Diceros bicornis minor: one gene and its partners. The protein of the gene in region 1 interacts with the protein of each later gene in a pairwise test. Links are inferred from orthologs where the notes say so. Each region holds a gene or a part of one and is shown on either strand. Other genes may lie near its edges. The genes, in order: CCHCR1, MIA2, TRIM54 and C13H1orf94.

Region 1 (7,628 bases):
GACGTCCTAACGTCCATGACAAGGACCTACAGCTTGTAACAGTGGGAATTTCCAGCTCTCTGGCAACTCCCTGCAGGCAGCAATATCTTTGGTAGGAAACCATCTCTTCTGTCACCTTGGCCATGAGGGCCTGCTCCAGGCCTCCAATCGATATCCATAGCAATGGACCCTTCCCCTGTAGTCATTCCCTCCTGGGGAGGCAAGGGAAGAAGGGGCATTTCTTAGGACTCATTGGCACACCACTGTGTCCACCCGTGGCCTGGAGGTGCCAGCTCTGTCCTCTGGTGCCGTGATGGTGGCCTTAGGTCTGGATGCCTACACGACACCCTGGGCACCGGAAGTCGGCCTCCCTGGCAGCCTGGATGCTACAGCCAACACAGGCCACATGGAACCAGACGTCACAACCATCACACTGAACCCAGGCTACTGTCTCTTCTTGGGGCAGGCAGCAACAAGGGGCTGCACAGGGCTCCCCACCCCCAACTGCGGGGGGAGCAATGGGGGTGCTCACTGGGTGCTTCCGAGGACGCCCACGTCGATTTCTGAAGAAAGTGACACAAAAACCAGGGTCACTAGAAACTGTAGAAGCCTAGAACTGTCCCCTGGATAATCAAAGTGAACCTAGATAGACTCACTAGACTAATGGTGAACCTGGTTAGTAGAGCTAACCCAGGTCTTGCCATTCCAACATCTGTTCCACTCCTGTCCACCTCCCATCCCCCTCTCCCTCCCCTGAGCTGAAGGCCACCTCCCAGCCTGGGGCTCTAAAAATGAATCAAAAGGCAGTGAAATATTAAGACAAAGATCTCTCTACTTACCCACTAGGTGTAAGTGGGGTTTTCTCTACACGGAATTTCTTCCTGGGCTCTGTAAGGACTGGTGGAGGGCTCTCGGGACCCTCTCTCTCATCATCCAGTTCTGCCAACACTCGGTGAGCTGATTTCCTGCGATTCCTTGGGGGTGGGGCAGAAGGGGTGGTCCCCACTTCCCCAGGGGGAGTGGGAACAGGCAGGCTCTGTGGCCCACCCCCACTCCGGGAAAAGGTGAGGGGCTGGGGCTGGAGCTTGCTGAGGCTGCCGATGGAGTTGAGGATCAGCGTGGCTTTGGGGGCAGGGGAGAGGGTGCTGAGGGGGCGCTGTGGAGCCCCCTGGGAGGGCAGCATGGGCCGGAAACCAGCCCTGGTTCCCTCTTCTCCCCTAGACCGAGGGATGGTAATGGCAGCAAAATCTTGAGGTTTGACGCGGACTTGCTGAAACATGAAGTAGAACTCCGGGGGGCTGGTTCCTGGGGGCCCTTCAGGGCCAAAGGTCAGAAGGTCACCATCACTCAACTCTAGCCTATGACCCCTTGGGAGTCGGACATTATTGACCAAAGTCCCTGTTGATGGTGGGCAACCAGGCACAGAGAAGGACAAAACAGAAATGACCAGAGTCAGTCAGGAGGGGAGGAATCTGGCCCCATTTGATTTTCTGGGGAATATGAGGAAGAACTTGACACCTGTCATCAAATTCTCTCACATTCTAAGTACCTCAGCAGGTGATATCAGAGATTAAGCTCCTTGTGAGCTGGGAACAAGATTTACTTTTCTTATGCCCTCCCTCAGGGCACATAGAGGGAGCGGACTCCCCTCACTCTACTGAGGTCCAGTTCTCAGATATACTCACCCTCAAACAGCCCCAACTCAACAGTTACTATCAGCAAAGCTCAGCCTGTCTGGGTTCAAATCCTAGCTCCACCACTTACCAGCTATGTGACTCTGGACAAGTTAACCTCTTTGTGCCTCATTTCCCTCGCCTATAAAATGGGGATGATATTCATGCCCACCTACATTCAATGCACTTAAATCTGCCTGGTTCATAATAGTAAGCACTACATGAATGTTGGCTACCACTGTTATCCAACCCCTACCACACACCAAAATAGACCTCACAAAGACATTTTACCCAAGAGGAAACCCAGAGAGGAGAAGTAACAGGTCTGAGGGGGCCACCAGGTCTGATAGGTCTGCCACCAGCGGCCAGTGGCAGAACTCAGATGTGAAGTCAGGCCTTCTGAGGCTGGCTGTAACTATCTCCAAAGTCAAGGAGTAAGACATATGCCCAGATCATTAAAACATAATTCAACATATCATAACGGCCCTAAGACAGGAACGAGATGCCTCAGCAAATCTGGAAACTGAGTCAAGTCTTAGCTTGGATCCCAATGCCCCAGAACAACCCCACTGTGATACTTTCCTGATGATGCCCCAGGCCCTGGATCTACCTCCCAGTCCCTGTATGAGCTAAACGGGCCATCGAGGGTCAGCCCCGCAGAGTGTCTGACACTGCACATTTCTGGTAGGAAGACAGGTCTGGACTACAGCTGTCCATCAAACCTGATGGGGAGTTTGGGAGGCAGGAAGGGTCCTTGTGGAGTCCCTTAATCATTCCAGCCCAGAACTGCAACTGCCTAGGTGCAAGGCTGCCCTGCTCACTGCTCACCTTGGCTGCTATGGTCCTCCAGACTGACCCTCCAGTCATCGCCCCGGCATTCAGCGTGCAGCTCCGCGTGGACTCCAGAGATGAGGCCGGGCTCCTGCTGGGGCCGCAGGGCCACATCACACAGGTCGGCCCTGCGGCCCAAGCGATAGGTGCAGCCAGCTCCGCTTGGGGGGTGGAAGGTGTAGAGATCACCGCCCCTGCCGCCCCCTATGCGCAGCAGCTGGAAGCAGGGCAGCATGGGCGGTGCCCCCTCCGCACCACCTCTTCCACTTCAGGAATCCATCACCTTTCCCACTCCTGGGTGATGCATGGCCGGCCTAAGTTTACTTTCCGTCTGATACAAACTTGAGCTGTGCTTTGTGCAATTTCAACTTTGAGGACACTCCCTGAATGGTGCAAATTCAGAGGACAAGGAGCCTAGGCACACGATGGAAAATTGGCTGTCAAGCAGCTTTGCAACTGAAAAGTTCGGAGAAGGTCCCGGTGCAGTGCAAAAACCAACACGTCTTATGGCACCTTAGTTGAACCGGATCCTCAGGCCGCAAAATACTCGGGGAGCCTTCAATCTGTGCAAGGCAACATACATTAGGCAGCGTCTAGGGAAATACACTGTAGATGTATGTATGAGGGGGGGGTTCCTGCTCCTGTGCAATGTTAGCTTGTCACCTCAATGTAATTTGGAGAAAAGAAGCTTCTTCCTGTCAGACCTGCTTATCCAAATGGAGTAATCCTCCTGCTTGCCCGCGCCTTGCTCTTCTGGCCAATACCTCACTCATAACTAGTTAGCTTGAACCCCAGTGGGAAAGTGAATCCACTGTCATCCCCTAAAGGCAGTGCAAACGAGTCCTTACGTTCTCCAACAAAGCGGATCTAAACCTCCGCTTCTCCGGGTGGGATAAAAATAGAGCAAAGAGCTCCCGGAGATCATACAAGGCAAACCCAGTCTTTTCCCTCCCCGCCCCAGCCCAGTTTCGGATTACCGCGCGGTGCAGTGGCAGGGTCTCCCCTCCAGGCAGTGCCAGCCTCTCGGCGGCCCCGGGACCTCTCGGGCTCCGGCCGGCGCTGGCGCTCCCGCGGCTGTTTGACAGCAAGGAAGCCGGGGCCAGGAGGGGCGCGGCCTCCGCGCGCGGGCAGCGCCGACCCCGCCTTTGGAATTCCCGGGCCCGAACTTCGCGCCGAGCGAGCCCGCCCCCCGTGCCGTTCCTGATTGGCCGGCTCATTTGTGCTCCTCCTCTCCATTGGGCGGCGCGCTTGGAGGCTCTCCGATCTCCCGCCTTCCGCTTTTTCTGATTAGTTCACAAGTTTTCCCGGGTTCCCGGAGTTGGGAGGAGCCGCCGGGGCGCGGAGCTGCCCCAACGCCTTAGTTGGGCCCGGCTTCAGACACTACTGCGCCTGCGTGCACCTCTTCCCCTCCTCCTTCCGGGGTGAAACGGGCTTTAGAGCGGCCCGCCAACCTGCGCGCTTTGCGCAGGCGCGGTCAGGGGCGGAGGCCGCGCCCGGGAGCAAGGTGTAGGGGGTGTGGTCAAAGGGCAGAGGTGGGCTCTCGCGCTGGGTAAGGGGCATTCTGGAAGTGTCGGTTGGGGGCGGGAAGGGGCTGAGCTGGGGTGCGAGGGTGGGTTCAGGGGTCCATAGGGGAAGTGGGGTAAGGGGGCCGGGTAAAAGAACGGGTAAGGTGGTCGGAACAGCCTTAGAGCTCGGGGTCAAGCAGGGTGAAGACGCAAGGGTATTTGAGGGAGTGGGGGTCGGGTGGCAGAACTGAGAGCCGGCTAGAGTGCAGGGAGGCGAGAGCAGGCTATTGAGTTGAGAGATGAAGGTGCGAGTGAGGGAGCAGAGTAATTCCTTCAGGAAAAAAGCAGATTAGGATGTAGGGAGGGAGGGGAATAGAAATCCCAGATCGGCGGGGCGAAAATAGATGAATTCGGGTGGGAGGGTGGGGAGACCTTGAACACCCTCTCTATGCTCTAGGACTCTGGAGAGGGGAGGGTGGGTGACAGGAATGGAAGCTGAGAGGATAGTAGAGAGAAATTGAGAGGAAAGTTGTTGGAAGGGTTTGGATGAGATGTCAGGAAGCTGGCTTTTCTGCCAAGAGATCTAGGCTGCCTGGATTCCCAGAGGTCCTGGGGAGGCATCCTATTCTGCATGTAGCCACATTCATCTGGGCCTGGGGCCAGAGCTTTAATAGGGAAGGACCAAGGAGGCATGGCTTGGTGGTGTCTGGATGGGCTTCCCCAAGGCCTTGCTGAGCCATGGAGAGAACTCTGGAGATTGGGCTCACAACCCCTGCACTGCATACCTCCTTTCTCACCTCCGACCAGGAACGGCAGAGACTGTAGAAACTTAAGGAGGAGGGTAAAGTCACTCCCAGAATCCCCAAAGTATGAGTAAAGCCTCAGAGAGCTCCCTCTCAGCCTGTCTCAGTAAATTCCCTCCATCTCGTGGTAATTGCCATAGTTCTGTCAGGAACCAGGTTGGGTCAAGCAAGTGATCTTTGGGTATTTCCTACTTCTTTTGGGAAGTAGGAAAAGAGGAGCTAAGGGTTGGGTGGACCTGGCTTTTATTTAAGGATTATGACTTTGTTATTGTAGGGGCTTTCTCTTTGGAAGGTGGCCTGAAAGTTGAATTGGAGTGTCCTTGTTTCTCCTATTGTCCAGGGGAACATAGATGGCTGGACACTGAATCTAGAGGCTTCAAATAATGTGGAGATGTTTCGACCTTCAGGTCAGTGGGACCTGGCAAGGGGACTGGTGATTGTCTCTCCCTGGGAAGCTGACCATCTTTGTCCTTGTGATTCTTCAGGTTCCACTGGGCTGATTCCCCCATCCCACTTCCAAGCTCGGCCCCTTCCAACTGTGCCAAGAATGGCTCCCACTTGGGTCTCAGACATTCCCCTGCTCCAACCCCCAGCCCATCAAGATGTCTCAGAAAGGCGGCCAGACAACCAGAGACCTCAAGTGATCATGTGGGAACGAGGTGTTTCTGACAATGGGCAGGAGCCAGGGCAGAGAGGCAGGTAGGGATACACTGTCACTGTTTTCTTGGGCTTGCTTGCCAGTGACCCTTCTTCACTGAAATAGATTTGTTACCCTGTTTCAGCCCTTCCATAATTTGTTCATTTTTACATAAGCAACTATTGGTGTGCCTACAATGAATAAATAGTAATAAGGCAGTGTGTTAGCTGCTAGGGATGGGGATAACAAAAATGAATAAGAGAGATCTTTATCTCAAGGAATTTAAAATCCCAAGAGAGAGACTGACCAACAGCTGATTGTAATAAACATAGTATAAGGCAAGATGAAGAAGTGTGAAGGAGTGTAGCTTGTACTGTGGTATGTGGATTCATTCTGACAGAGTACATGCCATTGGAGGTAGCCATGCTATTTGTAGGTGTACTGTCTATAAAAATTCTTGATGTTTCATGTGTGTCTTTTCCCAAATGTCCTGGAATGTCATTCTGCCATTTTGCCCTAGAGTGGAATTGCAGATGGGTCTACCTTGGACCCCATCAAAGAGGAAGGAGCCCGATGATGAAAGGGGAACACTGGAGTGGGTGTCAGGAGACAGAGACTTTCTGTTGCTCATTTGGCTACCAGCTGGGGCTCCTTTGGCCAGTCACTTAATTTCTCTAGGCTCTGAAGTGACAGATCCCTGCCACTTCAAAAAAAAATTCCGTGGTTCTGGGCCTCAGTGAGTGAGCTGTGTCAAGAGCCTTGTTATACTGGTTTAAACTTTATGTGACACCAGTTGATTCTGTTCTCCAAAGGTCGGAACTTTGCAATTTATTGCTGTACTGTTCTCTCAGACTCCTCCTAACACTCAATAAATGCTTTTAACTAGCTCCTGGCCGCACCATGTTGATACTGGAAGCCTTGACTTCTCTTTCTCTGCACCTCCCTCAAACTTTTCCTTGCCCTTAAATCGGAATTCAGAAGCCTCTGTGTGTTCTTCCAACCTCTCCAATTCAGAATGTGTGGCCTGATGATGTGCACAGGCAGATGTTTAATATATCTGCCTGTATATAGGCTCTCTCTAGGGAGATCACGTTCTATGGTCTCAGCAAGCCTTTAGGTCCTGTGAGCCCAGACAGTGGACCTAATGTGCTTAGTAGGGCCTCGATGAATGACTATGGTGAGGGAAATGCAGAGATCCCCATGGCCCGGCTTCATCCCCCTCATCTCCCCACATGGGAACAGAAGGATCCTCTTCTCCTTCTGTCTCCATTTATGCCCTTGGCCACTCTCCCAGCACCAGAGACATGTCTCACCTGTGCTAATCTGTCTTTGAAGGTCCATAGAGGGGTCGCAGGCCCTGAGCCAGCAGGCTGAGCTGATCTCTCGGCAGCTGCAAGAGCTGCGGCGGCTTGAGGAGGAGGTCCGGGTCCTGCGGGAGACCTCGCTGCAGCAGAAGATGAGGCTAGAGGCCCAGGCCATGGAGCTGGAGGCTCTGGCACGGGCGGAGAAGGCCGGCCGAGCTGAGGCCGAGGGCCTGCGTGCTGCCTTGGCTGGGGCCGAGGTTGTCCGGAAGAACCTGGAAGAGGGGAACCAGCGGGAGCTGGAGGAGGTTCAGAGGCTGCACCAAGAACAGGTGAATGTGGGGGTGGAAAGGGTTTACCTTCAAAATGGTGAACTGGCAGTAGCTTCCCAGCAGAGAACAGGTATCACCCAGAAGGCCCCATGAGCAGTAGAGTAATGAGAAGATGTTTGGTGAAGGCGAAAAAACAGGTGACCTGGGAAGAGGGAGAACTTGGGTGTTTTGGGCTTACTCAGATTGCACTTTTTCCCAGGACTCGGGTGACCCGCACACCACTTGAAGCCCTCCTTCCCCTTCCAGTAGGAAGTAATCTGTCTTCCCACTTTGCTCCAGGTACCCAATTCACCTGGGAGCCTTGGTGGAGGGGTGAGAAAGTTGGGAGTGGGGTCCTAAGGAGGACTGGGAAGGGAATATTACTCAGTCAGCAACCTTTTTTTTTTGTGAGGAAGACCAGCCCTGAGCTAACATCCAACGTCAATCTTCCTCTTTTTGCTGAGAAAGATTGGCCCCGGGCTAAGATCCGTGCCCATCTTCCTCCACTTTATATGAGACGCCGCCACAGCATGGCTTAACAAGTGGTGTGTCAGTGCACGCCCAGGATCCAAACCTGCGAACCCCGGG
Region 2 (8,157 bases), on another chromosome or scaffold:
GTGTATTCAGTATGGAAATGATGTATGCATCAGGTTGGTCATGCTTGTCTAACTTGGAAGTAAAATTGTTTATCATGGCATCTTTTCATTATAAAGCATAACGATACAATCAAAGAGGCAAACCTATTTTCAACTGAAAACATTAATCATTAATTTTCCTGTGTTTACATTCACAGACATGATTCAAACTTCTAGGAATTTCAGTGTAATAGGAATTTAGGCCAAATAAAAGTCTCTCCCAGTTGTTCTTTTTTCCCATGAAAAATTCATATACCTCACTTCCCTAGGCTACTAATCTTTCTGAGGATCTCTTCAATAGCAACTCAGTCCTTCATTTGCTCAGAAACACATGTCTTTTAATTTGATTAACTAAAACTTCCCAATCTCCCTTAAATTTGGCCATTGGCAGCACCAAGGAATCCCTGGGGTTGCCTAGCTATCTCATAATCTCCATCAGTAACTCTGAAGTAGGTAAATTTACTCTCCAAGTAAATATAAAATCTAAGTTCAAAAACCACACATGCTATGTAAAATAATTTCAAGGCATTCTTAGTCCTCCATCCCAACCAGACTGCTTTCCCAAAATTCTGCTTTTATGGAAATTCTGGAACCAACACTGAATATGACCATTTTTTGCTTGTTTAAATATGTTAAATGTTATATACCTATATATATACCTATATATCACTTTGAAATTCTTAAAGTTTCTTTTTTTGTGTGTGAGGAAGACCAGCCCTGAGCTAACATCTGATGCCAATCCTCCTCTTTTTTGCTGAGGAAGACTGGCCCTGAGCTAACATCCGTGCCCATCTTCCTCTACTTTATATGGGATGCCTGCCACAGCGTGGCTTAACAAGCAGTACACGCCTGGGATCTGAACCAGTGAACCCCAGGCCACCACAGCAGAGCGCGCGCACTTAACCACTTGCGCCACCGGGCTGCCCAGGAAAGTTTCTTTAGGGATGAAAAGCGAGCATCCTTGTGCAAGTTGGTCATTTATTCTGCATTCAATTTTTAAGACTAGATACTTACACTTCCTGCCCACAAATCTTCCCTTTCTCCTGCAAGTTTAATATAAACAGATATCTCTTCTCCCTTAGTGAAGTTCAGGTATCGGCAGTCAGGTCCTCTGTAATCTCTCAAGGCTAAGACTCTGCTTATTAAAGCTATGTAAGAAAAACACAAAATTTAAATTAAAATGTCATTTCTCTGCCTCCCATCTTGCCCTCCTCCAATCCATCCTATGTATTTCCAAATGCTAATTTCTTCATAACATTTATGAACTCAAAAACCTACATAGACTTCCCGCTGCTCACAGAATCAATTCTAAGCTCTTTGGCTTGGTATTCAAGGCTGTCCATAACCTGCTCCTTCTTCCCCACTTAAAATGACTTCCTCTTATTTCTTTACAGTCAAGCTCATCTATCCATTGTCCCTGGAATGTGTCGCTGTCATTCTCGTCAGTAGGGAAGGGAAGGAAAAGATCATTAGTTTTCTCCCCAGCACCTACTATATTCTAGGCATTATGATAAGCTCTTTCCTATCTTTATTTTATTAAATCCTCAAAACAGACCTATGAGGTAAATAATCTCATCTTAGGCTAACACATGAGCCTTTAACTACGTCTTAGAGGAGCCAGATTTGCACTGAGGCTCTCTTCACTCACCATCCACGTTCCATATTCTGTGCTTTTCTTTCTGCCCCTTCAGTCTCTCTTCAGGGTCAACTCATATCCTACTTCCTCTATGAGACATCCCTAATCAGTCCAGCCTACTCTGCCCCTTCTCTGAACTTCATTCTTTTTTTTTTTTTGTGAGGAAGATCAGCCCTGTGCTAACATCTGCCAATCCTCCTCTTTTTTTTGCTGAGGAAGACTGGCCCTGGGCTAACATCCGTGCCCATCTTCCTCTACTTTATATGGGACGCCGCCACAGCATGGCTTGCCAAGCGGTGTGTTGGTGCTCCCCTGGGATCCGAAGCGGTGAACCCCAGTCCGCCACAGCGGAGTGCGAGCATCTAACCACTTGCGCCACCGGGCCAGCCCCTGAACTTCATTCTTATGTTGTATCACTATTTATTGTTTCATATTGACCTGTCCTGTCACCATTCACTAGAATGAAAATTCTTGGAGGGCAAGAAACTTATATTTTATTTTCTTCTTCTTAGATCAAAACCCCCCAGCCCCTCAGACCCAGCACATGACAGGCCCTCAATAACCATGAATGATCATAACCACATATGCTAGATTTAGGCCTTTAACACATAAAGTAATATACATACCATATTAACTATTATAATTATACTAACATATGTAAAACATTTTAATTAAGTCATGCAATTAAAGTTAAAATAACATTATATATTACTATAAATTTGAATGTTCCCTTTCCATGTTCTGTGTCTGGCCCTAAGGAAACTAAAATGAGATTGTAAAGAGGGAAAGAAAGATTATTATTATTATTTAAAAAATCTAGTAAACTTTCTCTATATATTACATTACATATCCAAATGATTAAGGAAAATGTTTACTCAAAAAATTTACTTATAAATTATTTATGTTTATACTAATAATATTTTGCACTTTTAATTTACATGTTGCAAATTAGAAATAATTCTCACATACCGAAGAGATAGAACATATTTAAAGCAATTTTAATATATTGGGATGCTATTCATTCTGCACCATAATGCTAATAACAGAAAATTAAGTTTTTAAGCAATAAAATGAAAATTAATTTCTCTTGGTAAAATATAGAAGTTTAATATTCAAGGATATAAATAAAATTATGTACTCCTAACACTAATTTCAGTATTTTTACTTAATAAGTAGACACAGAAATGATTAATGTTTGATAAAATTTAGACAATAAATCACAATGGTTTGAAATAAAAACATTTTTAGAAAACTAAAAAATATAAGGGCTTCATAAATAAAGAACTATTAAATGGCTTGATATCTTTTTTAATGCAAATCAATTACATTTATCTTATAAAACAGTAAAAGATCTGATTTGTGTGTTTTTGAGGTCTGGATTAATATTTTTATAATTTCTGATATATTTATGTACCAGGCTGATCTTTGCCCCTTTGTATATTTGCATTAAAAACTATCACAAAATGCTTTGCCTCCAGCATTTCCTTTTTATAGTGAACCATACTTTATAATTGCAAATATTTTGTAACGAATTAATGCTCATTTTTATCATACATGTCCACAATAACATTTTATGTCATTTCAGAGCCTCAGTTTAAGAGGGAAAAAAAAGCAAAGCAACTTACTTTCACATTCCAAGTCACCACATTTTTTAAAGTCGGCCAGCAGTTTTGTGCCTTCCAGACACTTTGTCAGAGAAATAATCAAAAGGAGGATTCTGTGAACTCCCAGCTCCGCCATGCTAAAACAAGCAGGAACCCCAAACAAGGTTTAAACCGACTGTTTAGGCTGTAGGTCCGCCAGCCCAAACAGGAGACATCCCACTCTCTTCACTAAATACAAGAGAAAGGGGTTTGGTTCTTTTTAATCCCTTCGTAACTACATTTTTCTATCAGTGTTTAGGCTTACCTTGAGAGAAAAACACTCTCCGTTCTCAATCTGCAGTGTCAGGTATCCAGATAATACCTAAGGGTTTAATAATTAACAGAGATTTTTAGTTGGACTCACGTCTTACAAAGGTGGCCCATGTAACACTGTCTCCCTTAAAGGCACCTGGCATTCCGCAGGACAATTCCTAAGCAGGCCTCCACAAAAAGGCAGTTCATTTCTCTCTTCAGGGAGCTCGGTCAAAACGTACAAACTGAGTGTTTGCTGCATGCAGACACCAGCATCAGTGGAGAAAGTATATAGTTACATGTAGAAGCAGTAATCATTTATGTTAAAAGCATGGTTTTGAAATATCATGATGAAAGTTATTTGAAAAAATATCCCACTTTCATATTTTAAAAATCTTTGGTGTTATTACGAAGTTGAAACTTGTATTTAGTTAAGAATAATAGTTACGGGGCCGGCCCCGTGGTCTAGTGGTTAAGTCTGGCAAGCTCTGCCCCAGGGTCACAGGTTCAGATTCCTGGCACGGACTGACACCACTCACCAGTGGCCATGCTGTGGCGGGGACCCACAGACAAAATAGAGGGCGATTGGCACAGATGTTAGCTCAAGGCGAATCTTCCTCAGGGGGAAAAAAAAAGAATAATAATTAAAATGTAGTAAGTACTTATTATGTCCCAGCTACTGTCTTAATCACTTAATCATGTGATCAGATTTAACCCTCACACCAACTCTCTAAAGCGGGTAATATTATCATCCCCATTTTTGCATATGAGGAAACTGAGGTACATAGAGATGGGCTAAATCACTTGCCCAGTGTCACACAGGGAGTGGAGAAGAATTTAAACCTCAGCCCTGCGACTCCCCTTACTCATAACCGCTGTGTCTTACCACCAAGAATCAAGTCATCTGCCACAGAAAGATGTCCACGCTCTCTGCAACAATGCTATTCCAGGAACAGCAAGTACAGGCTTATTCCATATTTAAAATTGCATACATTTTTCTGTAGGTGGAGAGAATGAGAGAGATGTCTGAAAGAATCTTCCTCCATACGGTAGGAGTACACAGTGTGCTTTCAAGTTGTATTCACTTTCTTCTTTGTACTTTTCTATATTGTTTGACTTTTTTAAAATCAGTGAGGATGTATCATTTTAAAATAACAGTAAACCTATGAAAATCACGTTATTTGAATGTTATTATGGTTTACAAAAGGGATCAAAGCCCTATATTGGGAATTTTTGTGTAAAACACTAGATCTCAGTAGATTTTCAGAAACCACAGTTGTCGTACTTCACTCTTGAGAAAATATTTTTCTAAGCCTTTTTTTGCTGTACCCTCTCACTGTATCTCAGGCCTATCAGCGTGTAATCGGTTTACAGAATGCAGCCCTTGTATGACACCACACCTCCCTCTAGTGCCTGACATAAACAAGACAAATATCCAGTACCTGAGCAAACTAAAGTAAAGGACTTTTGCTTTCAAAGTCCTAAAAAAGGACGTGTGTTTTCTGTTTGTTTGTTTTCCAAAAACAATAATTAGTAGGAAGCCTGCTTTCTCGGATCAAAGATTTTTACGTCCTTAGGATCTGATAGAGCATGAATTTGAGGATCATTGGCTTGCACTCAGAGCACGGCATAGCTGTGCACATCCACACTCAAAAAGATGTAGCTTAGTTTCTTGAATACTTTTGCAAATCTATAGGCTATGTCGTCAAAGACATTTAAAGAAAGATTAGCTCTTCAGCTTCAAAATTTGGCACAGGGTTATTAGCATAATTTATAACATCAAATAGAGAATATTTCATAATTAATATACTTTATCCTTTATTGTATTCAATATTAAAGACATTACAGCTCAATTCTGCACCAATTAATTTAGTTATATTGTAAGTTAAGACAGAGAAGAACCCAGATAAATTTAAATTTGTCTATTGATTGGCCTGAAGGAGATTTGAGTCAAGAAAAACGAGAAAAATTGTTGCCTAAGATAGCAGCCTGGAGAGATTTGCTTTTATAGAAATGCTCCCACTTTCTTGCTACTTGATGCACTCAGATGATCTCATTCCATGTTTAGATTGTTATTTAAATATATCCTAACAAGATATCTGAAAATGTGGTAGCACAATGGTAACTGTATCCAACAGACTCGGATGAAGAGGTGATGGAGGAAGGGATAAGAGCATTTAGTTTAAAGAAACCAAAGTATCGAACTTTCACTATAACAACAGTCATGTTAATTTAGCCAGGTATTATCTAATTGCTGATGCATTTTTCAGATCAAGTGTTGTGTCAATATTAAAATATAATACTGCTGCTGAGGAAGATTTTATGGTAACAGTCAGGAATACTGATTTGGAAAGCCTGTAGCATTCTTCAGAAACCATACAGGAGGTAAGAGAACCTACTGCATAAAGCTAAAGAATGAATCATCAAAGCCACATATGTTCAGTATCTCAGCAATAGTATCACAGAGCAACCCTTTCCACGAGAATGTAAAGATATCATCACCAATGCTGCACTTCTACTGCTTGGTAAGGTTATTTCTGACTCTGTATAGTACTGTCTTCTCTCTCAATACCTCAGATTTCCTGAAGTGGGAACATATTTCCTTCCACCAGCTGTCTGTTAGTCTGGCAATTTATAAGATAGAGAAATTTGATTAGAAGTTGCTTGGGGAAAGCTGAGCTGAGGAAGCCAGGGTGTTTTTTTCTAGGGAGGGGGCACTAGGACAGAGCCTTTGGAAACAGTTCCCGTGGCAGACAGCTGTGCAGTGTGAGATCAAGCCCAGGAGAGACTGAGATTCAAACTGGTGTGGAAGACATGAAGGTGGCCCCCCACGCTCCCTCTTCAAGAAGAGGCTTTCTGCGCAGCTGCAGGGAGTGCAGTTAGCAGACAGCCTCCCTCTGGCAGCTACTTCAAGGTCTGCCCCAGCTGCAGAGAGCCCCCTCACCCAAGATCGCCCCTTCCCGGTGATCTAGTGAATTTGGTGAATAAATGACGAGAGAGTACAAAGGCAGGGCTGCAATGGCAGCCTGATGTGGGCACCTCTCCCTCCAGAGCTCCTGCTGGGTTGACTGAAGCTTTGTAGAGCCTGTAGTGCAGTTTGACTTCCCCCTCTGCCCAGTCCTGCTGTCTCCCTCTTCCTTTCATAGGGGTTGATCCCTTGAATTCCAACTCTGTTTCAGCCTTTACTGCGAGAGGACCCAACCTCAGAAGCTAGTGATCCACAGGTGCAAAAAGAGGAGACGGTAGAACACGCACATTTTGGCCCATCATTTGTGCTAGTCACTCCGTGGCTCTTTTTACCTTTGCTGCTTTTGTGTTGCTGAAGGCCGTGTTTCAATTCTGCCCACTTTTTCTCATTCTGTCTGTATCAGTCAGAGTTCTAGCAGGTAACAGAAGGGTATTCCATTTTGAGGGATGGCACTCCTCAACGATTGAGGAGATTTTAATGAAGGACTATTTACAAAGGTGTGGGCAGGGTTAAGGGAAACCAACAAGGGATGTAACACCCCCAGGCCTGAAGGAACGGTGTCCACTGCCTGGAGAGAACTATAGGAGAGAGCTGCCTGGCAGGAACTTGAAGCCTTCGGTAAAGGAACTCAGACAAGAGAACCTCACTCTTCTAATTTCTGATCTGATGGTAGCACCCATTGACCAAACCCAGCCAGATGCCAGAGAATAAGGGAACCCTTTGAGGCAGTCCTAAGGTCTGTGTTCCAGGGACACAGAGCAGAGTGGCAAAGAGTGGAGAGTGGATTGGGAGGAGCAAAAAGAGAATACCCCACACACTGTCATCATTCCTTTACTATGTATTTTTGAATAATAGCATGCAACATCCTCTACATCCAAGATGATATCTGTGTGATATGTGCAGATCAGGGGACTGAATTGATTACTCTCATCAATGGGTAAGAAAGAAATTTAATGTTTGTTGAGCACCAACTTTGTATCAGTGTATGTATTTCACATACACATCTCATCTTCCAGGATGGGCTTTATTTACTGAATGCCTATGATGTGTCACTCTTCTAGGGACTAGAGGTACAGGAGTGAACAGGACAAAGTCCTTGCTCTCATGGACCTTGCATGCAAATGAAGGGAGACAGACAAGAACAAGCAAACAAATAAATGAACGAGATAATTGCAGGTACTGATAAGTTATTATGCAGAAAAGTGTCTACTTAGATAAAGTTGTCAGGGAAGGCATCTCCGGAGAGCGACATTTGACTTAAGAGGAGGGAATAGGAAGGCAGACATTCTGTGCAGGGGGAAGAATTAACGAGGAAGTCGTACTTCATTGTCTGAAGTTTGATCGCCAAAGATTTAAAGAAAAAATGAAGGAGGCATATTGGATGCATTCCAGTATGTCAGAAACAAGGCTTAAAGGTGAAACTAACAGGCATATATAATCAAGAAACATAAAGGCAGATGGAGAGTGGTAGGAGATGGAGTAGGAGACAGACAGAGGTCCAATCATGCATTTTTTGTGGAAAAGAGTGTGAGTTTCATTCTAAGTGCAGTGGGAAGCCAGAGGAAGCTTTAAGGAAGGGAATGACATTATTTGTGTCTTTATCATACAACTTCACTTTTTTGATTAGCTAACCCCTACTT
Region 3 (8,512 bases), on another chromosome or scaffold:
TATTGAAATAATAAAGCTCTTTTGGTTACATGTTATAGAAACATTCACTTTGACCCAATAATTCCACTTCCAGGAATCTACCCTAAGGAAAAAAGAGATTTATTTAAAGATTTATAGATAATTTTCATTATAAGGCTATTATACTATCAAATGGTTAGAAACAACTATCCAATCTAAATTATATAATTACATTATGATACATCCTCATGATGTAAAAGTATTTAAATGAAGATTTGAAGAACCGTAGTGACTTTTGGACTTCTTGATATCGTTTCAAAAGAACATGAGAACTAATAATTACAATATAATAGGATAAATGCTTTCGCAGAGTAAGGTGGGAACAACGGGGGGAATGAAGAAAGGATTCCCAGGAATACTAACATTTGATGTAGGTCTTAAAGGATATGTAGGAGTTTCCAGGTGGAAGAGAAAGAAAGGACCAAGTGGAGACTCCCAAATTCTGAAAAAGAAGACTGGGAAGGCAATACACCTCTTGAGAAAGGCTTGCAGAAACCATACCTCTCATACAGCACAGTCTGCAAACCCATTATCTTTCTGTGAGTGAGTCGATGCGCCATGACTGTGATCAAGACAGGCGACCCCCTCCCATTGGAGAAGAAGGGATGCCCCTCGAGGCTGCGCCCAAGGGTAGGGCTGGAAACGAAGCTCCCCCGCCTTTGGCCGCTCGCGACCGGCGATCCCCCACGCTCAGGCTTCCCCCTAGTGAAATAAGTCCCAGGGCTCGTAGCCTCACCTCCCAGACCTTCCGGCGGCGCCAAAAAGCGCCCGGAGTGTTGATGCTGCGCGCAAGCGCAGTCGGCGGTGGACTCCGGGTGAGAAGTTTCACGCCCCGATGGAGGTTGTATGAGGCCTACCCGGCTGAAGAGAGCGACTCTTCAGGTAAAGCGCCCGGCCGGGTGGGGAGTCCAGTCAGAGCCAGCGGGGACCTGGGGAACCCGAGCACTCCCGTCGGAGCTTGCTGCCTTGGTTCTCCTGGGCTACAGCCTCTGAGCTCTCTCCCACTCGGAGGTTCTGCTCCCTGTTTCCTCGCTCGTCGGCCCCACAGCTCCCCCTTTTCGCTTCCTTCTTCGTCTCTTGAGCCATCCCTCTGTTCTGCCCACTGCCCCGGCTCTGGGGGGCGAGGGTGCGATGGTTTGAGAGGGCAGGCTGGGGGAGGAAGGCAGTCGGTGGCCCAGCGGCGAGCATTGCCCTCTGTCCTGGCTTTTGGACGCCTGACTTCTCTTCGGCAGCTCGGCGTGTGGTCTGAATGGCCTCTCCCGTGGGGACTGTGGCTCCCTGATTCCTGAGCCGCCTATTAGGGCGGAGGCGCACTGCTCTTTCAGACCCAGCAGTGAGCCTGGACAGGCCCAGGGCCGTTTCCTTAAGCTACTAGTAGCTCAGGACAAAATCAGTCTCTCCCCATGGCTTAGACCACCCTTGCGTACACCTCTCTAGAATGTGGGGTGTCTGGAGGTCTGTGTAGCTGAAGGATGCTGAGAACTGTGAGGAGAAGACGTTTCCTCTTTAAAATTTGAATTTGAACGTCTTTTCAGGTCGCCTGCACTCTCCTGCTAGTCGCAGATCCCACTCACTTTGTCTTATACTTGTCCCTTTGGAGTCATTTACCTGCCTAGCCCCCGAAGGCAATGAGCTTCCTGCCACTGGAAGTTCACTTCTCCGTGGCCTCACCTGTGGAGTTTCTCACAAATATTTCTTCTCCTCTGACCCAGATCATGTCTCATGTGGATGAAGCAGCCCGCCGGCTGTCCAAGAGTGGGTCAACCCTCTATGCAGTGCTGGAGCTTAAGAAGGGTGCCTCACCTGAAGACATCAAAAAGGCCTACAGGTTCAGACCTCAGCCCCTTATTAAACCCTGCAATTTTCCCCCTTAAACCTTTTTCTTTCTACCTTGCTTTCTGACCCATTTTTAAATCCCCAAGCCTTCACTTTGGGGCCATTCTCCTCTTCAGTGTGGCATGGGAAGGAATTTAGACTTGGGCTGCTTGCCGCCATCCTTTGTACCATGTCCCATGCATTCCTTCTTCACAATCTAGAGACCTGTCCCTGTCATTCATCCTAACCCTCCCTCCCCAGCCATTCCCCATCCTCTCTCCACCTTCCTTTTGGGTATTGCCTGGGTAGGAGACTGGCCTTGAAGTATCATCCAGACAAGAATCCAGGGGACGCTCAAGCAGCAGAAATATTCAAAGAGATCAACACAGCCCACTCTATACTGAGTGACCCTAAGAAGCGGAAAATCTACGACAAGCATGGCTCATTGGGAATATATATACATGATCACTTTGGCGAAGAAGGCGTCAGATACTATTTTACGCTGAATAGTTGTTGGTTCAAGGTACACAGTTCCTCCTAGTCCCTTAAGAATAAGGAAGGAGGGGCAGCCCTCCTCTTGTAGGACAGCCGACCCTCCCTTCCGAGGACAAATGCTTCAACTGTCTCATTTTCTGGGTCCTGGGAGGATTGAGGGAGGGGAGTTTGAATGGAAATATAGAAGAACTGCTGGACTGAGACGCTTCTTTCCTCTTTTAGACACTTGTCCTCCTGTGTGCTCTGCTCACCTGTTGCTGTTGTTGCTGCTGCTGCTGCTTTTGCTGTGGAGCACTTAAGCCACCACCTGATGAGGCTGCCAGGAGAAAATATCAGCAGAATGTCCAGAATCAGCCTTCAAGGTCAGGTGAGAACCAGAGACGGGGACTGAGGTAAGAGCTGGGTTAGGAATGAAAGAAATGGTTGGTGACAGAAATGGTTGGGGGTGAAACTGTGAACCCCTAAATATTGGAATCTCAAGTCAGTATTGGGGCAAAGTGAAGAAAGAGAAGGGGATACACTTGGTTTCTGAGGGGCTTATGCCACAAAGTGACAGTTTGAATGTAGTGTTGGCCTCTCATGACTGTTAAGCTAAGGAAAATGGAGTGGGAGTTAAGGTAAGGAATCAGGTGAGAGAGTCTGCCTAGAAAAGGCAGTAGTTGAAGACAAGTTAGAGGATGCAGCTTATTGTGTTTACTCAAAAGGAAGATGAAGTGTCTGAGATTATCCCCACCCCCAAGTAGTTAAACTTGGAAGTGTGGGTTTACTGATGTTCACACCAGTGCCACCTAGTGATGCTAGTGAGTAACTGCAAGATAACAGTTTTCTCACCAGTAGAATTGTTACTAAATGTTTATATATGTGTTTTTCAAATTCCATTATAGGAAACAAGCAAAGTTTTAGAAAAGGGGAAGATAATGATAATGAAGATGATTATTAAAAGATGAAGAAGAGTTGAGGTATGAAAACTGAAATGCAGCAGTAATTAAAGGACAAGTGGAAAGTTTATATCCTTATAGTATGGATTACAGATGTTTATATCCTTACTTAGAGTGGTTTTGCTTTAAATTCTGGGTGATCATTCCTTCTAGTTCATAATATGCCAACTTCTTCTGCCCATAGGTGCTGACCTAGTGAGAGTGCTTCTGCTGCCCAGTCCACTGGACACGTTGAAGAAAGGAGCAAGTAGCCCTGTCCTGACATTGACCCTGATTTGCCCCTCTTCTTGTAAGAATCCCAACTTCAGAAGCATTGATGGAGTTGATCCTAGTGGGGATGCCATCTCTGTCCTTGATGGTATCACTGACCCTGGTGATACAGGGTCACCCAGCTACTCTTCTTTTAGCTCCAATTTTAATCTGTTAGAGAGCAGCCCTCCCATCTCTACCCTTATGAGGTCTCAGGCAGTGGTGATATAGACTTTTCCTCAGCATTCTTTTTCCTGTGCCTTCCTTGAGATTTGAGCCAATGTTAGCTGGTAGGGTCTCTGAGCCACTTGCAAGATCTCCACCAAGATCCTGATACTGAGCAGGGTGGATCCTATCCCAGAGCTGCTGTGCCAGCTAACCCTCCTTTGTTACAACTCTGTGTATTAAGAACTCTTAGCATCAGCCTCATTCCTAAGCCAGTACACCTTTCTGGGGCTCATCTCACCTTCTTCTGGTGCCCATGCACTTGGCATTGCCAGTGTCACTCCATGCCACCATGAGTCACCTCAGGAAAAGTATGAATGCATTTGAGGCCTAGGGGTGTTTATCTCACCTTTGGATTCTCCCTGGACTGCAACTACCAGCACAGCGCCCATTAGCATGGGTCCTGTGGGTTGACTGAAGTTCATGCGTCAGTGCCTGCTTTGCCTCCACACTTTTTACCACGTCTTATGCCGGCTGATCACCATATATTTTGTTCTTAAAGCAGGGGCATGAAACGTGATAGGGAAAATACTGTACTTTTACAGACCCTTTCCCCACTCGTGCCTCTTCACACTGCCTGTTTGGTATCCTCTCCACACCATTTATTTCCTGTCCACCCAGGGTCAGAGCCTAGTAACTCCTCAAAATTCTCTCTCCTGACTGGGAGAAGGGCAAATGAATGTCAGTAAATAAAAGAGTTTTTGTCAAATCCCAGTGCATATGTTGGTCCCAAAAAAGACAAATTGTGCCTGGGATGGAGAAAAAGTCCTGTAGGAGAAAAAGACAGAAGCCCAGTGCTCACACGTGAGACCAGCCTGCTTTGGACAGTAGGAGTCTGGGACAACTATGGAGTTGGGGCAGAAGGTTCCTGGAGCCTTGTGATTATGACTTTGTCAGACCTCTAAAATTTCCCTGGAGACTGATTCCCCTGGTGCCCAAAATAGGTTCCTGGTATTCAGGTCCTGTCTGCCCAGCTCAGCTTCTCTTGATTTCCTAACAAATTTAAAGTCCTTGGAGTGGCTCCGGTGATGTTGTCATGGACCAGAATCCCACACTTTGTCAGGGGCATGCTCATGAGGTCGTTCCAGGCCCTGGCTTCCAGTGCCAGCTTCCTGAGCTGCTTTTCCTGGGGTGATATAAGAAAGGTCTGGGCAAGAACAAAAATGGACCAGAAGTGTTGGACCAGAGCCTCTCTCTCTAGTCTCTGGTGCCTCTGTTCTGAATCACAGGGGTCAGAGGAAGAGGGCCAGGGTCACTGGCTAAGCCTTGGAGGCAGAAACTTTCACTGACAGTCTGTGAGTCTGGCAGTATCTTTCCTCCCACCGTGAGCCATGTATGGTGCCTCTCATCCAGGCTGATTTAGATTCTGTGTCACTGCCCTGGAAGAAGGGCCCAAGCCAGAGCCTGGGAGTCAGGGGCTCACAGGAGCCTTCTGAGTGGGAGAGCAAGTGAGAGCCTGACACCTTTACTGCCCACCTTTCACCCTAAGCAGTGAAGCTCACCCCTGCTCTTGCTCAAGGGAGTCACCCATTACTGAGTGAGTCAGGGTCACTCACTCAGTGACAGCTGTGGCTCGCCTTACATGAGCTAAATTGGGAGTTGGAATGTCACGCAGATGCCCCTTGTTCCCCACCCCCACGTTAAAGTTAATCTCTCTGGGGAGTGAGAGACAAACAGTGCTGCCCATAGAGTGAACAAGAGTCATTTGGGGAACAAAAGGAGAAATTTCCAGGGACAGAGTCATTCAGGGAGGGAAGGGTAGATAAAGCTACATGTGCCTGGCTGGGGTACAGAGCAAAGAATAGAGAGACAGAGAAGTGTCTGAAAACAGCTATCTAAGGACGAGGTGAATTGTTAGAGGAAGGGACAGGAGAGATAGCAGAGCTATTTCAAGAGTAAGCAACAGAAGGGAACATAAGAATCCACAGGCTGTCTGAAGTAAGCGAGGAAGGGTCCAGAGGCAGTGAGACAAGGCCAGGACCAGGGCCAAGGCCAGGATAGGCACAATCACTGAGGGGATGAACTTCACAGTGGGTTTCAAGCCGCTGCTAGGGGATGCACACAGCATGGACAACCTGGAGAAGCAGCTCATCTGCCCCATCTGCCTGGAGATGTTCTCCAAACCGGTGGTGATCTTGCCCTGCCAGCACAACCTGTGCCGCAAGTGTGCCAACGACGTCTTCCAGGTGGGCCAGGGGCGGGGGCAGGGCCAGGTAAAGCAGTGCAGACTTGTGGGGGACTTCTCATCAGGTCAGAGCTGAGACCCCGGAAGGTGATGGGCAGAGTATTCTATGAGGTGGGTGGTGGCTGTCCTGGTTGAAGAGCAGAAGAAGAGCCAGGGGTCCTAGCAGATCCCAAAGTAAGCATGAGTCAGCAGCTGCTCTGCAGGCTGGCAAGTACAGCCTGTGCATGGACAGCAGCTGGAATGCTGGTATCTACAGAGGAAAGAAGACCCGCATAGAGCTGGGAGGGAGGTGATCCTACATCAGACTGTACAACAGTCTATACTAGACTCTGCATCCTTGTTTGGAGTTTCGGGTTTCGAGAACAATACAGAAAATCTGGAGAAAATAGCAATGAGATAATGAAACATTAAAAAATGAACCCTGTGAGAAAAGTTCATGATGACAGTGAAACTATTTGTATTTAAGGCAAAGCTCAGCATATCCATCTTTTGGGGGCAGAGTTAGACAGTGGACAGGAGACTGGGAATTCTCCCCAACTAAAGCTCAGGCCTGTGCCCCGCTCCAGATTGGTCAATAAAGGGGCCTGCTGGTTAAAAAGGATTGAGGTCACTTCAGCAGAGAAGGCAGACATGAAATTTTACTTCTCAGAAATATAATGAGTTTGGGTTTATATGTGGTCGTGGGGCAAAGCATAGCTAATCAAATTCACAGATACCATTTTAGCTACTAGTTTCAAAAAGAAAAGCAGCATATCACAGAATGGTTTATTCCTGAGCTTGCTTTCTTGCCCTGTGCCACTGGTGTAGGCTCTAGTAATCTAGAAAAACTAGTAATATAGAAAATGGAACAAAGATCAGGGAGAGTGAGGGGAAAAGACACACACACACACACACACGCAAAGATCTTGCAAATGAAGTAAAAATTGACTAGACCAGAGCTGGCTGGCTTAGTATGCATGGGGCAATAAGGAACATCATGAACACATATTCTTCAGCTGTATCAGAAATTATGGGGAAATGTGTTGAACACAAGTGATTTTTAACTTAACCAAGAAAATATTTCCCTTTTAAGTTCTTTGTGGCAGCATGTTTGGGGGAAAATAATGGGCTAGCTAAGTCAGGCCATCCTCCAGCTGTGCCCTGTGACCCACACTTTGTCTCTCTACTGCCTGCCGTCTTCACTGAGTGCCCAGCCCCATAGTCTTTCCTGCCATCTTCACATCAGGGCCCATTCCCATCTCCTATTCCTCTATGTGTCCAAACCTGCCGTTATTTGGCTCCAGAGTATCTCAGAGCCAGTGATTTTCCCTTTCTGGAGGCCTAGACTGACTGCTATGCCTGCTTATTCCAGGCATCAAGTCATGTAGGAGAGACTATGCCTTGCCCTCCATCTTGGTTTTTCCCTTGGTCTGAGTAACTCTCTGAACATCCTGCAGGCTGAGATGCCTAGAAGGGAATGGCAAAATGAATTTGTAGTGAAACTTTTCTTTCATTAGAACCTGAAATATGTGAATGCAAATAGAAGTTTTGAAAGTGAAGGTAATGTGTCCTGTAAAAAAGTGGTCAGAATATTCAAATGCAAGGCACACAGTGTCATCGGGCAGAGGGATGCAGGGACAGGTCCTGAGTATGGAGGCTAGAAGATGTTTAAGTGACCTTCCTTGTTCAAGCCTGTCCTCTGTATCAAGGCACACAGTTTCGGCTCCTTGAAGCTCTGGAATACTGATCTGGGCCCAGAGAGACCTGGGAATGGGTTGGGTCAAGTACTGTGCAGAATATTTGAGAGATAACATGATTCCCAGGGATGGCTTGGGATGGTTCTGTGGATCTGGACTGGTGGGTATCTTTTAAAGTGCAGAGCACCTCTGGGCCCTCCAAGGAGAGAGGAGGGAACAGCTCATTCCCTTGCTGCTTTATTTGGGACGGCCTGGTGGGAGGCTGACCCAGTTCTTCAGCTGCGCTTATGTATATACATCTCAGTAAATCTCCCTCTGAAAGATGAGCATATTTAGTTTTTTCACACATTGCCTCCACATTTTGACAACTCTAGGCATAATCAGATAGTCTGTTTTCTAAGTATGGGGACAAGAATAGGACTTTTGGTTCCTCTATGTTAAAACCGCTTAGGAAGAATACCCTTAGGACATTGCCTAGAAAGTTAACAGGACTTATAAAAGTGACACCAGTATATTATACATATTTTTTTTCAACCAGTATAAAGTTTATATCAAGAAAAGTGAATCTTCACCTCGGGCACTGAATTCCCTTTTCCAGATAGAGGTAGCCATTGCCAACTTTCTTGGGTATCCTTCCAGAAATTTTCCATGGATAGATACGTGTGTGGGGTGTGTGTGTGTGTGTGTGTATATATAGTGTGTGTACATATATATATATGGTGTGTGTATATGTATATTTAAACTAGACTCCTTGCCCTACACCTGTCTTTGTTCGCTTACTCTCGCATGGTGGTTGTTCCATATTCACACATTCAGCTCTGTGTCTTCCTTTTTAAATGGCTATATAGTGTTCCATTGTTATGACTGGACTACAGTCTGTTTAATCAATCTTCTAAAACATTTAGGTGGTG
Region 4 (7,746 bases), on another chromosome or scaffold:
TCCCAGGTAGGCACCAAGATTGGTGAGAAATCACAGCCAACCGTAAATTAAATAAATTACCCATGGCAAAAAGTTTTCAAAAGCAAAATGGCAAAAATCCTTTCAGTTTGCTTTTACAGCCAAAAAGTTATGCTTATGGCGAGAGGTGGATGTGTTTAAAATATGTCAGATGAAAGATAGGACCTACAAGAGTAAGCTGGCTTAGGGCCTAAGAAGATCTAGAAAGAGCACAGGCGATGCCCACCTTTCTGAATTCTCCAACCTACACATGTTTGTGTCAGTGATGGAAGGCAGGTGAGTAGAGGTTCGGGCTGGAGAGTAGGTAGGAAAACTTCCTGGTTTTCCTGGTTCCAAATAGAAAAGCAAGAATCCCAGAACCCTAAATAATGGTAACTAACATTCATTGGGTATGTAGCATGAGCCAAACTAACTACTCTAAGCACAGTAGCATGCATTATCTCAGTTGTCACAAAACAACTCTATGAGGTCAGTATTTTATTGTCTCTGTTTCACAGATGAGCAAACTGAGGATAAAGATGTCAAACAACCTGCCCAGGGTAATAGGGATAGTAAGGGATAATTTAAGAATTTGTCCAAACTAAAAATAATTCATAGATGAAATGGTGTCCATGACTATTGAGTGCTTCACTTCAAGCTCTAAAGAAGTCAGGAGACCACACCTGTCTTCAAGGTTCTGTCTTCAGCACCTTGGACAGTACCAGGCACATGGATATATATGCTGGAGAACTATAACTACATGCTTAACAGAAGCTGGAGTATGCTCAGTTTTTCCCACACCTGCTATGTACCAGGCACTTATGGAATGCTTTGATCCCTTCACTAGCTTGTGACAGTGTCTAAGCTAGAGGTCTTATTCATCTCCCAGCCCTGAGCCTTGTACAATCTTGGCCCATGGTAGGTGCTCAAAAATGAAAAAGCCTAGAAAGGCTTAGTTGATGATTTGAGTCCATTCCTCCATCGCAGAGCAATTTCCTCAGCACAGCTAAAGTTCTCCCTCCCTACACAGAGCACAAAAGCTGCTATTTAGAAACTCCAGTGGCACACATTTCAATGTAATCAACAAGGAAACTAACATACAGCATTTTTATGTGTCTCTTATGTGCCAGGTGTTGTTCTAGGGACTTTCCATGTGTTAAGTAATTACTCAGTAATAGACATCTATAACAATTCTACAAATCAGGTGTTCTTTATTATCATCCCATTTTACAGATGAAGAGACCAAGCTTTATGAGCTGAATGGTGTCCCTCCAAATTCATATGTTGAACTCCTAACCCCCCATACCCCAGATAGTGACTGTATTTGGAGATAGGACCTTTAAAGAGTGGTTAAGGTAAAATGAGGTCATTTGGATGGGTCCTAATCCAATATGGCTGGTGTCCTTATAAGAACAGGAGATTAGGAATCAGACAGGCAGTGAAGGAAGACCATATGAAGACATAGGGAGAAGACAGCCATCTATAAACCTAGAGAGGCCTCACAAGGAGCCAACTCTGCCAACACCTTGATCTTGGACTTCCAGCCTCCAGAACTGTGAGGAAATAAATTTTTGTTGTTTAAGTACTCCAGTCTGTGGTGGCAGCCCTAGAGAAGCAATAAACCAAGGTACAGAGTACCTTGCCTAAGCCTACATTGCCAGAAAACATGAACTCAGAATTTGAACCCGGGTAATCTGGCTCTAGAGTCTAGGTTTTGTGATGATGTGAATGTTCTCTGTGCTGTCCAAAATGGTAGCCACAAGCCACGTGTGGTGCTTGAAATATGGCTAATGTAACTAAGGAACTAAAATTTTAATTTAATTTACATTAAAATACAATTAAAATTAAAATAGCCACATGTGGCTAGTGGCTACCGTATTGGATGTAGCTTTACACTGTTTCTAAGTACTTCACTTAAGTTTTTTGCAGAATCTTCTAGAAATCTCAGCTGTGCACTCCAAGAAACGTGTCCCTATCTTTGTTCCCTATCCCTGCTGTATTTTATTTTTTTGCGTTCCTTTCTAATTATCCCCTGTTGCCTGGTGTCCTGCTGAAGGGGAGAGAGAATGGGAGAAGGAGTGAGCGAGCTGGCTAACTCTCCAGAATCCCGTGGCCTGGGCAGTGCAAGGTCGTTGGCAGTCTGCTCTAAGCACAGGTGTTAGCCAACCAAATGCCAAGCCGCACAAACACTGAGTGACATTTTCAGAACTATTAATATTTCATCAGAAATGATCACTTTTCCTTTAAATACACTACCTTAAAAGGTTTTCTACATTCTTAACTATAATTTTATTCAGTCTAAGTCCTCGGAATTTTCCCCAAAGGAACACATCTTCAATTTTATAATGAAAATCAAAGGGGAGTGAAGCTTGAATTTCAAAATTTAGAGTCAACATTTCCAGGAACTCCAGTCCTCTGTAAAGAGCAAGGTTGTGTATTGGGCACCTACTGTATGCCAGGCACTTGGCATACTGCATACCATTGATTCACCCAACACACATTTACTGAGTGCCTACTATGTGCCAGAAATTTTATCTTCATTATAATTTATTAGCACCATTTTACAGAAAAGGGTTCCTTCTCATCCTGTTTCATCTCCAATATTACTTCCCCAAAGAGGCCAGCCTGGAGGGCCATCTAAGGCTGCCACTGCTCCCTCCCCACCGCCTCACTTTGTTGGTTAGTTTCCATCAGAGCCCTTATTTCATCCGTAATTATTGCTATTTCCTTGCCTTGCTGGTTTGTGATCCATCTCCCTCCCTAGAATATGGGCTCCAGGAGAGCAGGGAGTTTTGTTCACCTTCCAGCGACTCACCTGGCACAGAGGATGGCTCCGTCAATACTTGGGGACCGGATGAACGCATGAGCATGAAGTTAAGACAGTTGTTAGGGTCACACAGCTCCGAAGTGGCAGTATCGGGTTCAACTCTTCATCTATGGACTGTCATATCGTCTATTCGCGGCCATTCTTCTTTCTTCTTTCCCGTCCTCTTGCTCTTCCTTTTCTGGGGAAACACCGGAGGAACAACCACTGACTCCTGTGGCCAGAGAGCCCCGGGCAGGCGGAGGGTCAGTTCCGAGATTAACGGAGCCTCTCCAGTGACGGGGGGAGCCCGCTGGGCAGCAAACCCTAAGTCAGCCCTTCTCTCTGCACCTCGGCCCTCGACCTCCCCTGCTACCGCGCCGCCCACCCCGGCACCCGCTGACCTCTGCGCAGGGGGGAACGGTCTATCTCAGCGGCTGAGAGCGGGATCAGGCCTGTGGGCCCGGGTTTGAATCCCAGCTCCCCACTTCCTTGTGGGCCGTGGAGACACCCCTTTAGGACTCTGAACTCGGTTTCCTCTAATGGACAACGACAATAAACAATGGTACTAACTTCATGAGCTCGTTAGGATTCAACATGACCACACAGGAAGCCCAGCACTTGGCACAGGGTAAGCGCCCAGTGAAATGGCAGTTGGGGTAAAAACAGGGGAGCCAGGGGCAGGGCCCCGCAGGGCTGAGGTTTGGGCGGAGTGGCGGCGGAGCGAGGCGGGGCGCGGCGCCCTCGGCTTCTAACAGGGGAAGGCGCTCTGGGGTCCTCCGGGCCCCCACCCCCACCCCGCCGGAGGGCATGGGGCACCGAACCCGCGGCGCCCCGCGCACCGAGCCGTTGCGGTTGAAACCCACAGAAGGAATTCCAGCGCTGGACGGGAAGGGTGTGGGAGCCACTGGCTCGCAAATCGATCCAAGCCGCCCGGCCCGGCCCGCCTCGCCGAGACGGCACCCTTTTAAGGCGTTGGGACCCTTCCCAGGCCAGTCCCAGGCCAGCGCGGGGGGCGCGGCAGGCGCCTGCTGGGGGCGCCGACCCCGGGGGCTGCGAGCGGCTGTGCGCTCGGCTCACTTCGTGCGGGGGCGGCCGAGCGGCGCTGGACAGGGGCCGGGAGGGGCAGCGGGGAGAGCCAGCCTGCCCGGCCGGCCGGGGCGGGGGCCGTTGGCCCTCGGAGCGCGCGGGCGTCCCTGGGAAGACCGAATGAGACTCTAATGAAGGGCTCCGGCCTGCACGGTGCCTAGCACAGCGCCAGGCGCTCACCCGGTCCTCCGCGAGGCTTAGCGGGCGAGAATGGGCTGAGCCCCAGGCGCCGCAAGGTGTCACGGGCCTGTCGCAACGGGGCAGTGCCAGGGACCGTGGGGAGAGCCCGCCCTCCCCCTCCAGCTGTTCCCAGATGTCATCCTGCCCTTCCAGGCTCCTGGTTCCTGAGCTCAGGGGGATTCCACGGTTACTAAGCTACTGGTTTTTGTTGACTTTTAAATATTTTCTTCTAAGGGAGAGGGGGAGGGGGGCAAAAGTCAGGAAAGAGCAAATAAAAGCAAATCGAAATAAGCTCCTCTCCCCAAAGGAAAGTTGTCCTCCATCCACCACTCACACACAAATCGAAGGCCTCTGAGCACACTCATCTTGCTGGAGCAACCTGCTTCTGCCCCATCCTCATTTCCCTTTTTGGTGAATGAGGGGTGGTGGTGGATGGTCCCCTTGTCTTCGAACCCTGGGTGGACAAAGGGGCTTCCGGAAAGAGAGGAGGAGGATGGCCAGTGGGAATGGGCTCCCTTCATCGTCGGCCCTGGTGGCCAAGCGCCCCTCTGCCCTGGGCCCATTCCCCAGATACATCTGGATCCACCAGGACACGCCCCAAGACAGCCTCGACAAGACTTGCCATGAAATCTGGAAGAGAGTCCAGGGCCTGCCCGAGGCCTTGCAGCCCAGGACCTCGAAGGAGCAGCTCTCTGCCCCCATGGCTGGGACTCCAGGAGACAACGTGCTCAGCTTCCAAGAAGAGTGAGTGTCCCCCAACATGGTGGGCATCAAAGGAGGAGGGAGGAGATGAGGTCTCACCTTCTGGGGGAATGTTCTGGCCCACTGTTTAGTCTGGTTCAACCCTAAAGGCTGTATACTTTTTCTCCACCCCCATGGTCCTTTGGCCAATTTTTATGGGAGAGTTAACTGGGGTCCTGAAGTTACTTGGGTGACAGGCCAGACTAGGGCTGAATTTTTGCTGCCTCTTCACCAGCCCACAAGGGGACATTTCTCATCCTTAAGTCATAGGCAACTCAGATGTAGACCTGAGAACCTTGAAAAACCACCTTAGTCAGGGCTGAGCATTAGATATCACAGTTTTCCCACAAGGCAACTAAAAGATCCTTCCCCCTCCTGCCTCCAAAGGCTAGGCATTGGCACAGATGAGTCTGGTGGTTTTAAACCACATCTGGAATTCCCTAATACAGGGAGCAGCTGTCCCATTCAGCATCCACAGAAGCTGCTGCAAGAGCACACATCAAAATATTTACTGGGAAGGCACTGACATATTCAGAGGACATAATAGAAAATTAACGTGCGGGAAGATGGCTGTAAATAGCCCATTTCCTAGTTGGGAAATCCTGTGTCTGGGAAACACAGAGCTAAGTGTTTCTCCGCCGGGGCAAAGTTGGACAGATATTGTTGGAGATGGATATTTACAAGGAGAGGAAGGAGGGACCTCGTTAGGAAAAGCAAGTGAATCCGCCATGGTTATTAATGTCACTGTTGAGCATTTGTTCAATGCTTTGCATCTTCAAAGAGGGCTGCCAGCATTAATTAATCCTCCTGAAGTCCTAGGAGGCAGGTATTAGTGTCCCCATTTTACAGATGGATTAAGTGTTAATAATTAAGTGGTAATTAAAGACTAAGTGATAATTAAGTGTTGCCTGTTCTAACACATGCTCCAGCTCAGTTCAGAGATGCTCTGGAGTAGGGGAACCATTCAGGCAATTATCAGCTGGTCTGGTTTCAGGGAATTCTATGCAAGAGCAAGAGGACAGGCAAAGGGTAACTGCCGCCCAGGTCTGCACGACCTGCCGTCCCTTTTCAGGCTCACATACTTGCTGCAGATGAAGGTGGAAGGCACCTTGGCTATTATTGCCTCCCCTGCCCTGTGCTCAGCAAGACATGGCTGGGATGGGAATGGCCTTTCTGCAGCCAAAATCCCACTGTCCGGCCCTCCAGTGGTATTGAGTCCCTCTCCCCTGCCCATTGCCATCTGCTCTGGGATGGGCCCTTGTCAGGGGGCCCGTGGGGCTGTGCTCAGCTCTCAATGGCCAAGGAGTTGATTGTCCACTTTGTGGAACAAGGGGCAGTGGCAATTTCCAGTAGATGGCACCATCTCTGCCAGGTCACACTGAGTTAATGGAGACAGCCTCTATTTCCAGTTCGCACTTGGCCGAAAAGCGACCTGGCGCACCTTTGGCCAGTTGCTTAACTCCATTTGGCCTTGATTTTTTCATCTGCAAATTGAGGATGATATGCCCTGCCTTGTCCACCTCAGAGCTGATAATGAGGATCAAATGTGATGAGAGACAGGAAATGGAGAGCTGCATTATACAAATGAGGCTGTCCCTAAGTGTAATTCTCAGGGTTCGGGGGTTTTTGTTGTTGTTGGCTTCAGTCTGGGGTTTTCACACTATGCTCATAGACCCTAGGGTGCTTCAGAGGCCACCCTAGAGTCAAGTGGCCTGATTGCTGGGCCCCATGCCCATTTCAGTCAGAGCTGTTTGGCTTTTATGGGTTTTACTTACTGGAGTTCTAAGTAAAGGCTGCGTTTGAAAAAAGAGTTTTGCTACTGAGAAAAGAGCTGGGAAACCACTGACTTAGATGAATAAACGATATCATAATCGTGTAGATATCAACCGAGTAGAACACAATGAGCTATTCTTGAAATAAAGGCAGCTGCGATGGTGCAGTCAGATAACTCTGGTTTCAGCTCGCATTTCAGCCCTGCGCCAGCTGCAGGATTTGTTTAATTTATGTGAGCTTTAGTTTCCTCATCTGCCAAATGGAGATGATTGCTAGGCATTTCACAGGGTTGTTGGGATGATTAAATGGGATATTTAAACATTCCCAGTAATAACTAGGATTTGTATAAATTCCTTGTAATAATGATGATGATGATTTCTTTAAGCCCTACAATTATTACATGAGGTAGGTACTATTTTAAACTGCCCCTCTTTCTACTTTTTATTATGCAAATTCAAATGCATAAACTAGAATAGTATAGTCAATGTCTATGTGTCCATCACTGAGTTTCATTAATTATCAAATTTGTGCCATTCTTGTTTCAATTCCTTCCTCCCCTGTTTTTAAATAAAATCCTTTTCACAGATGAGGTGATAGGATTGGAGGGGTTAATTTCTTTGCCTGAAATCCTACAATTAGGAAGTGGTAGAGTTTCAGAAAGCAAACCCAGGACCTTAGCCACTACGCGACAGCGTTGGCTATCTTCCCCTAGAAATTGAGCGTCTTTTTGGATGGTCAAAACATTTAGCAGTCCCACATTCTGAATGATTGCACATGGATAACAGATTTCAAATCCAGGGAGCTGTCCAGCATATTTCTAGGATGGCTTCAGACCCACAAGACACCTCTCAGCTAATTTTTCCACTGCCTAATTTGCAGACCTGGTTTTGATGATGTTTTCTGCTACCTGGGTGGTTAGATAAATAAGTTCTAGAACTCTTGTTAGCCAGAAATTTTTCTTGACTCTCTCCCTATATATCATGGAAACCCAGACATCTCAAGTTTGAAAGGGATCTTGGAGGCCATCTTCTGCTGCTTGAATCCCATCCTCAACGTTCTTGCCAAGTGGTTATCCACTTGCACACTTCCTTAGACAGGGAGCTCACCACTTCCTAAGGTAGCCCCCTCCCTTGCTATGGACCCTGAGCATCAAAAGACCATTT

What was found.
Region 2: the proteins of CCHCR1 (region 1) and MIA2 interact in binary tests that used the Homo sapiens proteins (3 or more experiments, as listed by UniProt). The link is inferred for Diceros bicornis minor from reciprocal best matches to the Homo sapiens genes CCHCR1 and MIA2.
Region 3: the proteins of CCHCR1 (region 1) and TRIM54 interact in binary tests that used the Homo sapiens proteins (3 or more experiments, as listed by UniProt). The link is inferred for Diceros bicornis minor from reciprocal best matches to the Homo sapiens genes CCHCR1 and TRIM54.
Region 4: the proteins of CCHCR1 (region 1) and C13H1orf94 interact in binary tests that used the Homo sapiens proteins (3 or more experiments, as listed by UniProt). The link is inferred for Diceros bicornis minor from reciprocal best matches to the Homo sapiens genes CCHCR1 and C1orf94.

Annotation. Positions count from the first base shown.
Region 1 is NC_080753.1:34,069,657-34,077,284, forward strand, and holds the start of CCHCR1 (coiled-coil alpha-helical rod protein 1), read left to right. Parts: upstream 1-4,484; 5' UTR 4,485-4,679; coding exon 4,680-4,829; exon of another isoform or gene 4,830-5,131; coding exon 5,132-5,198; intron 5,199-5,276; coding exon 5,277-5,490; intron 5,491-6,763; coding exon 6,764-7,061; intron 7,062-7,628. Other genes in the region: TCF19 (transcription factor 19), read right to left, coding at 302-542, 819-1,377, 2,481-2,718. UniProt on the Homo sapiens protein: May be a regulator of keratinocyte proliferation or differentiation.
Region 2 is NC_080744.1:10,920,839-10,928,995, forward strand, and holds the start of MIA2 (melanoma inhibitory activity protein 2), read right to left. Parts: upstream 3,410-8,157; 5' UTR 3,395-3,409; coding exon 3,280-3,394; intron 1,167-3,279; coding exon 1,033-1,166; intron 1-1,032. UniProt on the Homo sapiens protein: Plays a role in the transport of cargos that are too large to fit into COPII-coated vesicles and require specific mechanisms to be incorporated into membrane-bound carriers and exported from the endoplasmic reticulum.
Region 3 is NC_080751.1:55,553,925-55,562,436, reverse strand, and holds the start of TRIM54 (tripartite motif-containing protein 54), read left to right. Parts: upstream 1-5,268; 5' UTR 5,269-5,758; coding exon 5,759-5,926; intron 5,927-8,512. Other genes in the region: DNAJC5G (dnaJ homolog subfamily C member 5G), read left to right, coding at 1,731-1,846, 2,143-2,356, 2,551-2,695, 3,213-3,268. UniProt on the Homo sapiens protein: May bind and stabilize microtubules during myotubes formation.
Region 4 is NC_080752.1:48,633,930-48,641,675, forward strand, and holds the start of C13H1orf94 (uncharacterized protein C1orf94 homolog), read left to right. Parts: upstream 1-4,484; coding exon 4,485-4,813; intron 4,814-7,746.